Linked DNA regions of Caenorhabditis elegans. The protein of the gene in region 2 interacts with the protein of the main gene of each other region in a pairwise test. Each region holds a gene or a part of one and is shown on either strand. Other genes may lie near its edges. The genes, in order: papl-1 and rga-1.

What was found.
Region 1: the proteins of rga-1 (region 2) and papl-1 interact in a two-hybrid assay, tested with the Caenorhabditis elegans proteins (one large-scale study listed by BioGRID).

Annotation. Positions count from the first base shown.
Region 1 is NC_003283.11:12,756,805-12,761,468, forward strand, and holds papl-1 (Purple acid phosphatase), read right to left. Parts: upstream 2,957-4,664; coding exon 2,815-2,956; intron 2,765-2,814; coding exon 2,621-2,764; intron 2,325-2,620; coding exon 2,077-2,324; intron 2,020-2,076; coding exon 1,789-2,019; intron 1,640-1,788; coding exon 1,529-1,639; intron 1,481-1,528; coding exon 1,346-1,480; intron 1,301-1,345; coding exon 1,041-1,300; intron 993-1,040; coding exon 896-992; 3' UTR 761-895; downstream 1-760. Other genes in the region: F18E2.15 (uncharacterized protein), read right to left, coding at 3,544-3,663, 3,935-4,088, 4,140-4,165; abcf-1 (ABC transporter domain-containing protein), read right to left, coding at 4,384-4,664.
Region 2 is NC_003280.10:11,462,863-11,469,191, reverse strand, and holds rga-1 (Rho GTPase-activating protein 68F), read right to left. Parts: upstream 4,299-6,329; 5' UTR 4,296-4,298; coding exon 4,172-4,295; intron 4,116-4,171; coding exon 3,962-4,115; intron 3,900-3,961; coding exon 3,806-3,899; intron 3,748-3,805; coding exon 3,641-3,747; intron 3,588-3,640; coding exon 3,429-3,587; intron 3,367-3,428; coding exon 3,247-3,366; exon of another isoform or gene 3,197-3,246; coding exon of another isoform or gene 3,143-3,196; intron 3,099-3,142; coding exon of another isoform or gene 2,607-3,098; intron 2,562-2,606; coding exon of another isoform or gene 2,217-2,561; intron 2,168-2,216; coding exon of another isoform or gene 1,668-2,167; intron 1,612-1,667; coding exon of another isoform or gene 1,587-1,611; exon of another isoform or gene 1,567-1,586; intron 1,384-1,566; coding exon 1,235-1,383; intron 1,173-1,234; coding exon 1,020-1,172; intron 961-1,019; coding exon 686-960; 3' UTR 539-685; downstream 1-538. Other genes in the region: cisd-1 (CDGSH iron-sulfur domain-containing protein 2 homologue), read left to right, coding at 83-171, 227-454; klp-17 (Kinesin motor domain-containing protein), read left to right, coding at 1,587-1,611, 1,668-2,167, 2,217-2,561, 2,607-3,098, 3,143-3,196; aars-1 (Alanine--tRNA ligase, mitochondrial), read left to right, coding at 5,171-5,248, 5,295-5,585, 5,639-6,329.

The DNA.
Region 1 (4,664 bases), on a different chromosome or scaffold from region 2:
TTTATATTATTTGATCCAATTTGTTTAGATCCCTGCAAATTATATCTAAATGCAATCAAAAGAGGAAATTGTCATTTTTGGACAAAAACTGTAAATTAAACAAAATCTATAAGTTAAAAAAAATATCTGAAGTATAGTCCATATTCTACACTTGTATTCCATTCTATCTTTCTCTAGTTATATGTTCACAAAATGTATATTTCTGACTATATACATACAACGCATTGTATTTATATATCAAATTAAAGTTATGATGACGTAAGTATTTGAAAAATTAGAGTATAAATCTGGAAAAAGAAGAAAAAATCAAAATTGTTAATGACGCGCCCTCTATGGAAGTTATTCTGACTCATATGTTGTATTACCGCGTACGGTTTCATAATTTCTTAAATAGAAAATACCTATTGTACCTGAAACTCACATCATTAATTTTAATCTGTTCAGTCTGGAGTGTGCAAGTTTCAAATTTTTAATGTATATCATATTTGCAAAATTCAATTCAACAGCTTGATATTATTGTCTAGAAACTCCCACGGAACTGCTCTCACAAATACGTCAATGCATGCAATCAAAAAGAAGAAATCTAGGAAACCACATACAAATATGAAATTTCTATTTTGAACACTGACGCCATCACCACGGCCAATCAAATTTGCCGCATTCGGGAACCTCCCAAAATACCAAACTTTGCTGGACCTGAATAACCTCGGCAACGAAAATTTAAGTTTCAAATATACTGGCATTTGACAACTTGAAATTTTTGATAAAGTTTATTTTTATTTTTTGCTACATATTTCCCACAAACTCTACTCTGCCTTTTATTTTTTTTTCGAAAATCATAAAAATGAATAGAGATATTTTATACAAGCTCTTATTTTTAATTTATTTACAAAATTTAAAGTTCTTCGTTAATTTCCTTCAATGATCGTTTACAGGCGACATCCTTGAAATGGCATTTTTGAAGTGGAAACTTTGCTCCTGGATTTGCTCTTCTACAAACAGTAATTTTTGGAACTTTTTTCAAAGCCAACTCTACTAACCTCATCTCACCAGAATGCATATGGCCTTCATCTTTAATAACCCAAAAGTCATCAACAGTCTGCTCATTTTTATCAATTGAAATTTGTTCAACTCTAATATGTGTTCTATTTGCAACTGTCACAATAGACCATCCATAATCATTATTTCTTGCAGCACTCCATGGCCATGGTTTATCAGTGAAAAGTGCATCTGGAGTATGACAACCTGCTGATCCACTAATCAAATAAACTGGAGCTTTTGGGTTAATGTAAGCATTTGGCTATAAATTTTAATAATCAAGTTTTTGAATTTTGGTTAAACTTACATCATTCCAATAAGCTCTATCTGCAACTGGGTAGAATCTTTCATACGAGTGCTCATGCCCCCAGAAGCCAAAATCAACGGAAGTTTGTAAAAAGAGTGGTTCTAATCCTGGCATATCCAGCCAACCGGTACGAACCTAAATACCAGACATATTAGCCAAATTAAACAATTTACTCCATCACACCAATCGATTTTCAAACGATTGACATTCAGCGGAGTTCACATTACTACAGTAGAATGGTCGATGTTGGAAGGTAAAGATCCATGGATGCGCTGCACGATTTGAATTTGCTGTCTGGGAAAATTGAAAATTATAGTATTTGAAATACACTGACACTTCTCATCTGCCTGATGATATTAAAATTGATAATTTTAAAAATAAAATTGATAATGATTTCAAATTGATAATTTTCTTTACTCCAAAAATAATTCCATATAACTTACAGTCAAATCCCTTTTCAACCAATCATATTGTGTCATTACGGGATCCATTCCATATTCATAATAGTATCCATAGGTTTCAGTACTCACACCAACCCAATGTACTGGTCCAAGATCAAAACTATAGAACTGGTTATCGTTGTGACCATTGTCCGGAACTGAGAATCGTTTTTGATAGTTAGTAAAGTTTTGATAATCGTCTTCGTGATTTCCAGCAATTACCATATAAGGAACCTGGAAACTTTCAGATTAAAATGTATGCATTAATTCACAATCGATTAAGAAACACACCTTTGAAATAAGTGGCTCAAATACATTCAAGTAACTGTCTCCGACTTGCCCATTATTTGTGTGCAGATCATATGCAATATCACCAAGATGAACAATAAAATCAAAGTCACCAGCAAGGCCGTGCTTGATGATGCTTTCAGTTGAGTTTCCATGCCAATATCCCAAATCTCCGAATACACAAACTTTATAGGATTGTGGATCGTTTGAGAGTGTCTTGAATGAGAACTTTCTAGATGCAATGGTATAATCTGAATGTAGGAAGGTGACTAATTATATTTATTTTGTCTATTACTTAGTAGTAAGACATGCAATTTTAATTTCCAGACACCTTCGCGATTGCATGAAGGAACGCATTAAAATAGTGGAATATTGTAACAAAAGTACATTGAATTAATTTTACTACTTCCGTAAACGTATAAAAACTCCTCGAAAAATAGACGATTAATCTCTAAAATGTTCTAACTATTTATTTGACAAAAGAAAAATCGGTTTGACTCTACTGATAGAGTGTCAATTCTAGATAATAAGTTAAGCATTTTCTCACCATATTCTGTTGAATACTCTAGTCCGGTCATAATTGCTTTGTGCCGATATCTAGTGATTCCTCCGAACACCCAAGCTTCAGAAGATCCTTTGGCAGTTGATGTTGCACCACTTCCGGTTTTTCCATAGGTAACATCTTGTGAAACTGAAATTAAAGCTACTAACTCGCAGCCTTGCCTAGTGTTCTATAATTACCTTCTGAGAATGTATTCCAAACTACAGCCATCTCTGTCATATCTCCGGTGAATGAAATGTGAACTTGATCAGGAGTTGTTCCTTCGGATATACATTTCGTGACTAATAATGATATTACTGTTAATGTTATGTGAATACTCATCTGGAATTTAAAAAAAAAACAAAAATTAGTAAATCGTAAGTAGATATTTTAATTTCAGAACGACAATTTGCAGCAAAACAAGACAGTAAAAAGTGAGGCTGTAAAAATACTTGGTAAAATGATATTTTGAAAATAGAATTTTCTTGGTAATTTTGATGAATGTTCAAAAAAGTTTTGATACATATTTTTGTACTCAATTTCTGAATAATGAGAAAAGATACGAGAATTCATAATGTTTCCATTCTAATTAATTGGAACAATCTAGATTCCTATCAATTTTTGCAACTTTATAATACTGAGTCAAAATTACCAATATTTGGAGTGTTCCTCACAAAGTGTGAAAAGTACTCGAATGCATTTGAGAGTGGATAACTTTTTGGGAAAACTTTGCATATATTTTCAGTGAAGCCACAACTTTTCGATCAAAAACTAGACTTGCAAAAAATGAAATGGTTACATGTGAAACTAAAGGAACGAAACGTGAAGTGTGATCAATCGGATTATATTCGGACAGTACATGTGCATGTCTATTCGCAGAGCACACAATTTCCTGATAAGAACAAAATGAAATTGATTTATTGAGAAATTTAAGAGAATAAGTTCATTAAGAGCCATAGTAGACGGCTGCAATGGCAATGAGCACTTGGATGAACAGAAGAAGAGAAGCACCGAATGCAATGATTGGGAAGAACACGTGAAGAATAGCTCTGAAATTTTATAGTTAATCTGGAAAATATGATTCTCAAATTAAATATCCAATGTGGAATTATATGTTCATTAAAGAAATTTGGAACTCGGCCTCGAAACGATCGCAACAACTTTTTAATTGAAAACTTCGAAAGAGTATGTTCCTTTGAGGGTTACGGTAGTGTTTATTATAGCATGTACCTTGAAGGTGACGTTGCAATTCAATACGAATTTACGATAAGTCTCTAATTTTAATAATAATTTCCTAACCGACTCATGATCCGTAATTACCATTGTTCTTCTAACTCTAATTGTATTTGAAGTTTTCGTTTCTTCCTTCTTTCCTTTGGTATCTCCATATGTTGAATCTTCCGGACGGATAAATTCATTGAGAAGATTGTCTGCTCTCTCAGTTAGAAGATCCTCTTGATTTACTTGTCCTTGTCTTCAAATCTATTATGACAATAATAATTATAATAATGAATCCGAATCATACCTAAGAAGTTTTTCAACGCTGCTCATGTCGAAGACGAGATTGATTTGTATTGTTGTAAATTCAGAAATCATTATAAACTTGAGTTGTTCAACTCGACCATGTAAAAGTGTGTTTATTTATGCCAACAATAAAAATAAACGTGAACTTGATATTATAAAGAAAAACGACACCGAAGCAAGACATTGCAAAAATTAACGAAAAATCGGAACAAAATCACGAAGAACAACTAAATGAAATTTAAAAACTATTTCTTGCTAACAAGAGCTTCTCCAAGTGCATCAAGTACTTCCTTCTTGTAGTCCTCAAAGTCTCCGTCAATCTCATCAATTCCTTGATTTTCAACAACCCAAAGATTACAATCCGTTCGAACAACCAGTCGCTCGTCGTGAGTAACCATCACAACACCACCATTGAAATCCCGGATTGCTTCTGCCAGAGCATCAATGGATTCAATATCGAGATTATTGGTAGGTTCATCAAGAATGATAATATCAGGACCTCCAAGAGCCAAGTTGCACAACGCTA
Region 2 (6,329 bases):
TCTACCTTATGATAAATCGTATATATTTTTTTTCGCTTGAATCTTATTCCTTAAATTTTTTTTGTTAAATTAAATTTTCCAGGTACCATGCCTTGCCCAACTCAAGTCTCTGGTCGCTGTGTCGCCACGACTGCCGCCGTTCTCGCGGGAGGAGCTCTTATTGGATACCTTGTAAGTTCAAGCCTTCCCCTGATGTAGCCTCTTCAATTTCACTAATTAATTTCAGGTTGGTTACAAGTTCGGACAGCGTTCGGCTCGCTGCAACTACAAGATCCAGCTCGACTCGAATAAGATCGTCGACACCGTCGATATTGAGGATATTGGAGAGAAGAAGGCATTCTGCAGATGCTGGAAGAGCGAGAAGTGGCCATACTGTGACGGATCACATGGAAAGCACAACAAGGAGACTGGCGACAATGTTGGCCCACTCATCGTCAAATCCGAAAAGAAGTAAACGTCGTCTCGACAAATCATTGATCTTCATTATCTATTGACTTCTAAATGTTCTTGTGATCGTCGAAAACCATCGGTTTTATATGATTTAGTACGGATACAGTGAATTAATTTTTAGTATAAATGACAAGTGTTTTGAATTTTATTTAATATGGATGCAATAAATAAATTACAGTAAGGCAAAAAAGTACAGAAAAACGGGGGAAAATGCAAAAGCTGAACACCCTAATGATCAATGATCAAATACTGAATCATAATCCACAATTAATTTATAGCAGAAGTTATTGAGGTTATTCAATTGAGAAATCGGCACTTCTTGATCCGTTGGCCACGTCAAATTTGGACCGAAAACGACACTCAAATTGTTTGCAGTCATCAGATTCACTTTGCTGTTTTCGGCGACTCGAGTTAGGAATTTGATGACTGTTTTCAGAAGAATGTAGTTTTCACGAGGCAGAAGCTTCACAAATTCTTTCACGGCGGCGCTTTTCTCGGTTTTCGATACTTCTGAAAGATTCAGATATTAAATAAACACTGTTTTCAATTGACTTTAAATATTTTCTCACCTGAAAGAGCCGCAAGTTTCGGATAAAGCCTATTGGTCGTTAGGGGCTCTCCGAGGCTCCTGAAGAACGTCTTCAAAAGTACAGAAGCATGCAGGGAAGCCACGTATTCGTTGTCCTTGTACTCTGGATCATTTTCGAAATCAATTTTTTCGCCTGAAACAAATATTTAAAATTAAAATCAAAATCAAAATTCAATTTCCTAGCCTATTAAATACCTTTATTAATTCTATCCTGTAGCCTCTTTATACTTCCAATATTAGCACTTTTCCTGAAAACTCCTTCCATTGTCAACGCGTGAGCTTCCAGATACTCGATGAGCTGGTCAACGATTGGAGGGATGTTTCCACCACAGTGAGACAGGATGCTGAAAATTTGTTTATCTTAATATTAATTAATTTATTTATTTAATTAATTTAGTTTATAAAAATCACGTTTGAATGACATTTCTGGGAAAACGTGGGAAATTTATTGGAAAAAAAAAATTCTAAATAAAAAAAAAAGAATTTTCTTAGAGTTTAGAATTTAGAATTTATTTCCGAATCTTTCACTGGTCGGTGTTCGAATCAAATGGACGGTGTTCGTATAAAAAATGGTGAGTTGTTATATTTTTTAATATTTTTAGTTTATATATATATATAATAATTTCAGACTTTTATAACAATCATACTAATGATTTAAAACATCAAATCGCGCAATTGGAGAGAAAAACCGCCACAATTCCAAAACTCGAGAATCAATTGCATAAAGCAAAGAATCAGAATAAGGTGCTACGACGTGAATCGGCACTTTTCCCGTCAGCATCTTGCGCTGATGTATCCAGAGTTGAAGATCAAAAAGTGAAGACTTTGAGAAATGAATTGGCGGATCTTAAGTTGAAACTTCGGCAGTTGGAAGATGACAATAAGGAGAAAGACATGGAAAATGACAGGCTGATTCAGGAGAATCGAACTTTGAAACGTGAAAAGCTGAAGCTTATCAACTGTTTTAAAACCCAAATGGCTGAAAAGGACGCCATCATTCGTGAACTCAACGATGAAGTTGTTGATCTTCGTGGCCAAATTCGCGTGGCAATCCGTGTTAGAGATTTTGAGAGAGATGGATCTTCCAACTTTAGCATCATCTCACAAAATGAGGTTCAACTCCAGCAGGTACGAATTTTTGATTTTAATACTTCAAGTTTAAAGCACATATTTTCAGACCACCGGCCAATCCAACACCTACAGTTTCGAGCACGTCTTCTTTCCTCCGACCGCCCAATCCGGAGTTTTCGGTGAGATCAAGGAGTTGATCATGTGTGCGCTTCATGGAAAAAATGTGTGTCTCATCGCCTACGGACCAACTGGAAGTGGAAAGACTTTCACGATGCGAGGAGAAGATAGTGCTGATTCGGAAGGAGTCATTCCACGTGCTATTCGATTTATGCTGGAGCAATCAAAGAGAGATCTTGCGATGATTGGTTGGAACTACAAATTCCAAGCATCCTTCATTGAAGTTTATAACGAAGAAGTCTATGATTTGTTGGATGGGAAGCAGAAGTTGGAGGTTAGATAATCTCATCTTATTATCTGTATTTTCAATATTTTGCAGGTAAAGATAAATGGATCGAAGACGAATGTAGTTGGACTGAAGAAAATCGAAATAGGAAACATCTCCGACGTTGATGTGATTCTGAATCTTGCCGATTCGCAAAGATCCGTAGCTTCAACAGCATCTAATGAGCATTCATCTAGATCTCATGCAATTTTCCAAATCTTCGTTGATGGGCAAAACGCCTCTGGTGAGATGGTTCAATGCTGTCTCAACTTGGTGGACTTGGCTGGTTCCGAACGGGCGAAGGAGACGCAAGCTCGTGGGAAGCAGTTCACCGAGCTCACAAACATCAACCAGAGCTTGAGCACTTTGAAAAAATGCATCCGAGCTCAAATGACGAAGATGTCGCATGTTCCATATCGTGACAGTAAGCTCACAATGGTGCTTCGCGAGTATTTGGGTGCAGGATCGTCGAAAACAATGTTCATTGCTCATGCGAATCCTCGTGATGTTGCCGAAACCAAACGGACATTGGAATTCACTTCCGAGGTATTTGTGCATATTTTTTTTCTGACATATCTTTTAAATTTCAGCTTCGTTCAACAAATTTGGGAAAAGCAGTTGTTCAAACAGGACAAAAACTATGAACTCTTTTTAGTTTTTAGACATTTTTGAACTGTATTGAATAAAGACTTACAACTCGAGAGGAACTCCAAACTGTTGTGTTGGCAGAGGTTGAGCTGGTGGTGTTTCAGGTCGATTTGATTGAGTTGAAAATGATTTATCATGATCTCGAATTGGACTTGGAAGATTTAATCTGAAAATAATCTTTTTTATAACAATTTAAAAAATTAAAAAATAAGAAAAGAAAAAACGAACCTTGCCACTGAAAGTGCGTTCTCCAGCTCGTCTATACACATGACATAGTGGAACTTGTTCTCAAACTTGCTCGATATGAAACCTTTGAACAGCGAGAAGATAATGCGGATGAATCGTGTTGGATGCACTACGTAGAGCGCTTTCAGGTTCTTTTTGAATCTGGAAACCGGTTTTTTTGAAAGAGAAGAGATGAATTGAATTCAAATACTTACCTACGATCAAGTTGTTTGTAAGCCTGGAACAGCCACCGTACCGGTGGTTTGTTGTGACTTCGTAGGCCATAGTGAAAATAGACAATTGTGTAGTCTTGGTCAACGATCTGGAAAATTGCAAATTTTATTTTTATCAAAATATTATATTTATTAAAAATTCCCAACCTTATCAATAATTTGTACCAAATACTGTAGAAGTCTGGCATGATCTATTTCCTTGCTTGATGGGAGCCGATAAGCATATACGACAACAATTGGCCTGCAAACTATGATTCATTAAAACAAAAAAGATAATTAATTTTTGGATTCAAATTAATTTACCTTCCAACTCGATCCCCATCAGCAATTACTTGAATAATTTCGTGAGCTGATATGTCGTTGAAAAGATCTTCGAACGGTTCAACACCTCCAAGCTCTGTCTCGAATTCTTCAGTTTCCAGAAACGATCGAGATGGCGTCATTCCAGTGACACTTACTGAAATAAACCAGTTTTCTATTAAATTAAATATCAATAATTATTATTCCACTTACCGCTTAGGTCATCCGGTGTGAGAAGGTCATCATCGGCATAGCCATCCACCGGATCTTCGAATTCTCCAAGATTTATGTTGGGATCTGATGGACCTGATGGATCCGGAGGATGTTTCGTGTCCATTTGCTGAAAATCTTAACAGTGAAATTTTCATTAAGACAGGGGCAAGGTAATTGACTACACACACTTGAGAATTTGGAAATATTTTAAGTTTCTAAGAAAATGATTCGTATAATAAATATCATATAATAAGTAGGCATATATAATGACCAATCAATATGTTTGAAAACATGTGTCAGATGGATTGCAGCGTGAGGTGAGAAGTGTTGGGTGAGAGATGTGAGGGAAAACAAGACGCAGACACACACACACACACCGGAAGAGAGGGTACGGTTATGAGGGGAGAGACCGAGGGAGATTGAGGAAGAAATGGACGAACAGTGCAGTATGTACCAAACGGCTTTTATGTTGAAAAAGAGAAAGAGAGAGTGGAGAGGAAGGAAACACTCCGCCGCGCCATTTGACAGCAGCGCCGGTTTTTATGAGATTCGTATCAAGGGAAGATGACGTTTTTTCTTTTGGATTGATTTAGAGAAAGCCCAGATTGCCATCAGCACTGAATATTTTCTCGTTGAATTTATTGTGTCTAGCCAGCTGTTTTGTGAGCGAGAATGAATGAAATTGATATGGGGTCACGACACAGCGCAAATATAGTGTCCAGTGGTCGCGGCGCTCGCCAAAAATGTCATTTCAATGAGAGGATTTTGTGTTTATTCAGCAAACGGTCGACGGGGATTACCAGTTTACTATTGAATCAAAAATATTTGAGAATTAAACAATTAAATTTTTAATTAAAACAAAATAAAACAAAAAAAAACAGCTTCTTTTCTAGGCCATGGCCTAACATGTTCTAGGCCAGTGTAGATTTACGGCACATTTTCTCTTAAATAATTATTTCGTTTTGAAAACGTTTTCAACGTGTATTCAACCGGAATGCGATGGGAATTGGCTCCAAAATATTGGAAAATAATATTCAGAAATCAATTTCACTTGGATTCTATCATTCACATTCGGAAGTAAGTTTTAAATCGGTTGAAATAACATTTTAATAGTTTATTTCAGCTTCGCAAGAGTTTCTACGAATTTTTCAAATCGAAAAATCACGAAATACTCAGATCTTCATCTGTAATTCCAGACGAAAACGATGGAACCTTGTTATTTACAAATGCTGGAATGAATCAGTTCAAGCCATTAATTCTATCATCAACCGAATCTAGAAGAGTTGCAAATATTCAAAAATGCATTAGAGCCGGAGGAAAACATAACGATCTCGATGACGTTGGAAAAGATTTACATCATCAAACATTTTTTGAAATGATGGGCAATTGGTCGTTCAATGATGCATTCTCAAAAGTTGTTTAACGACGCATTTCTCTCTGAATATCTAATATTTTATTTGCTTTCAGGAGGAAGCATGTCGATATGCATGGGAATATTTGGTGGAAATTCTAGGAATCAATGCAGATAGATTGTATGTTTCCTATTTCGGTGGAATCGAGAAGCTCGGATTACCGGAAGACCGTGAATGTCGAGAAATTTGGAAACGAATTGGAGTATCGTCAAATCGAATTCTTCCATTTGTCGCTGAGAATTTTTGGGAGATGGGTGCAGCTGGTCCGTGTGGTCCTTGCACCGAGATTCATTATGATAGAATCGGCGGAAGAGATGCTTCTCGATTAGTGAATATTGATGATTCAGTTGTAGAAATTTGGAATATTGTCTTCATGAGCAGCGTCAGAGATTCATGTGGTCAAATTCGACATTTGGGAAAAAACCACATTGACACAGGAATGGGATTCGAACGTCTTCTATCAGTTGTCCAGAACAAAACTTCAAATTTTGACACTGACGTGTTCACACCGATTCTAGAAAAGACCTCCGAGCTGGCAAAAAAGCAATACACTGGAAGTCTGGATAGTCGACAAGATGCCACATTCCGTCTCGTCGCTGATCACATTCGTGCTGCGACTGTGGCGATCAGCGATGGAGCTGTACCTGATGGAACTGGGTGTGGATTTATTGTTAGAAAAATGATGCGACGAGCTTTTTTGCAAGGAATTTCGAAACTAGGAATTGAGAGATACGCGATGAGTGAGC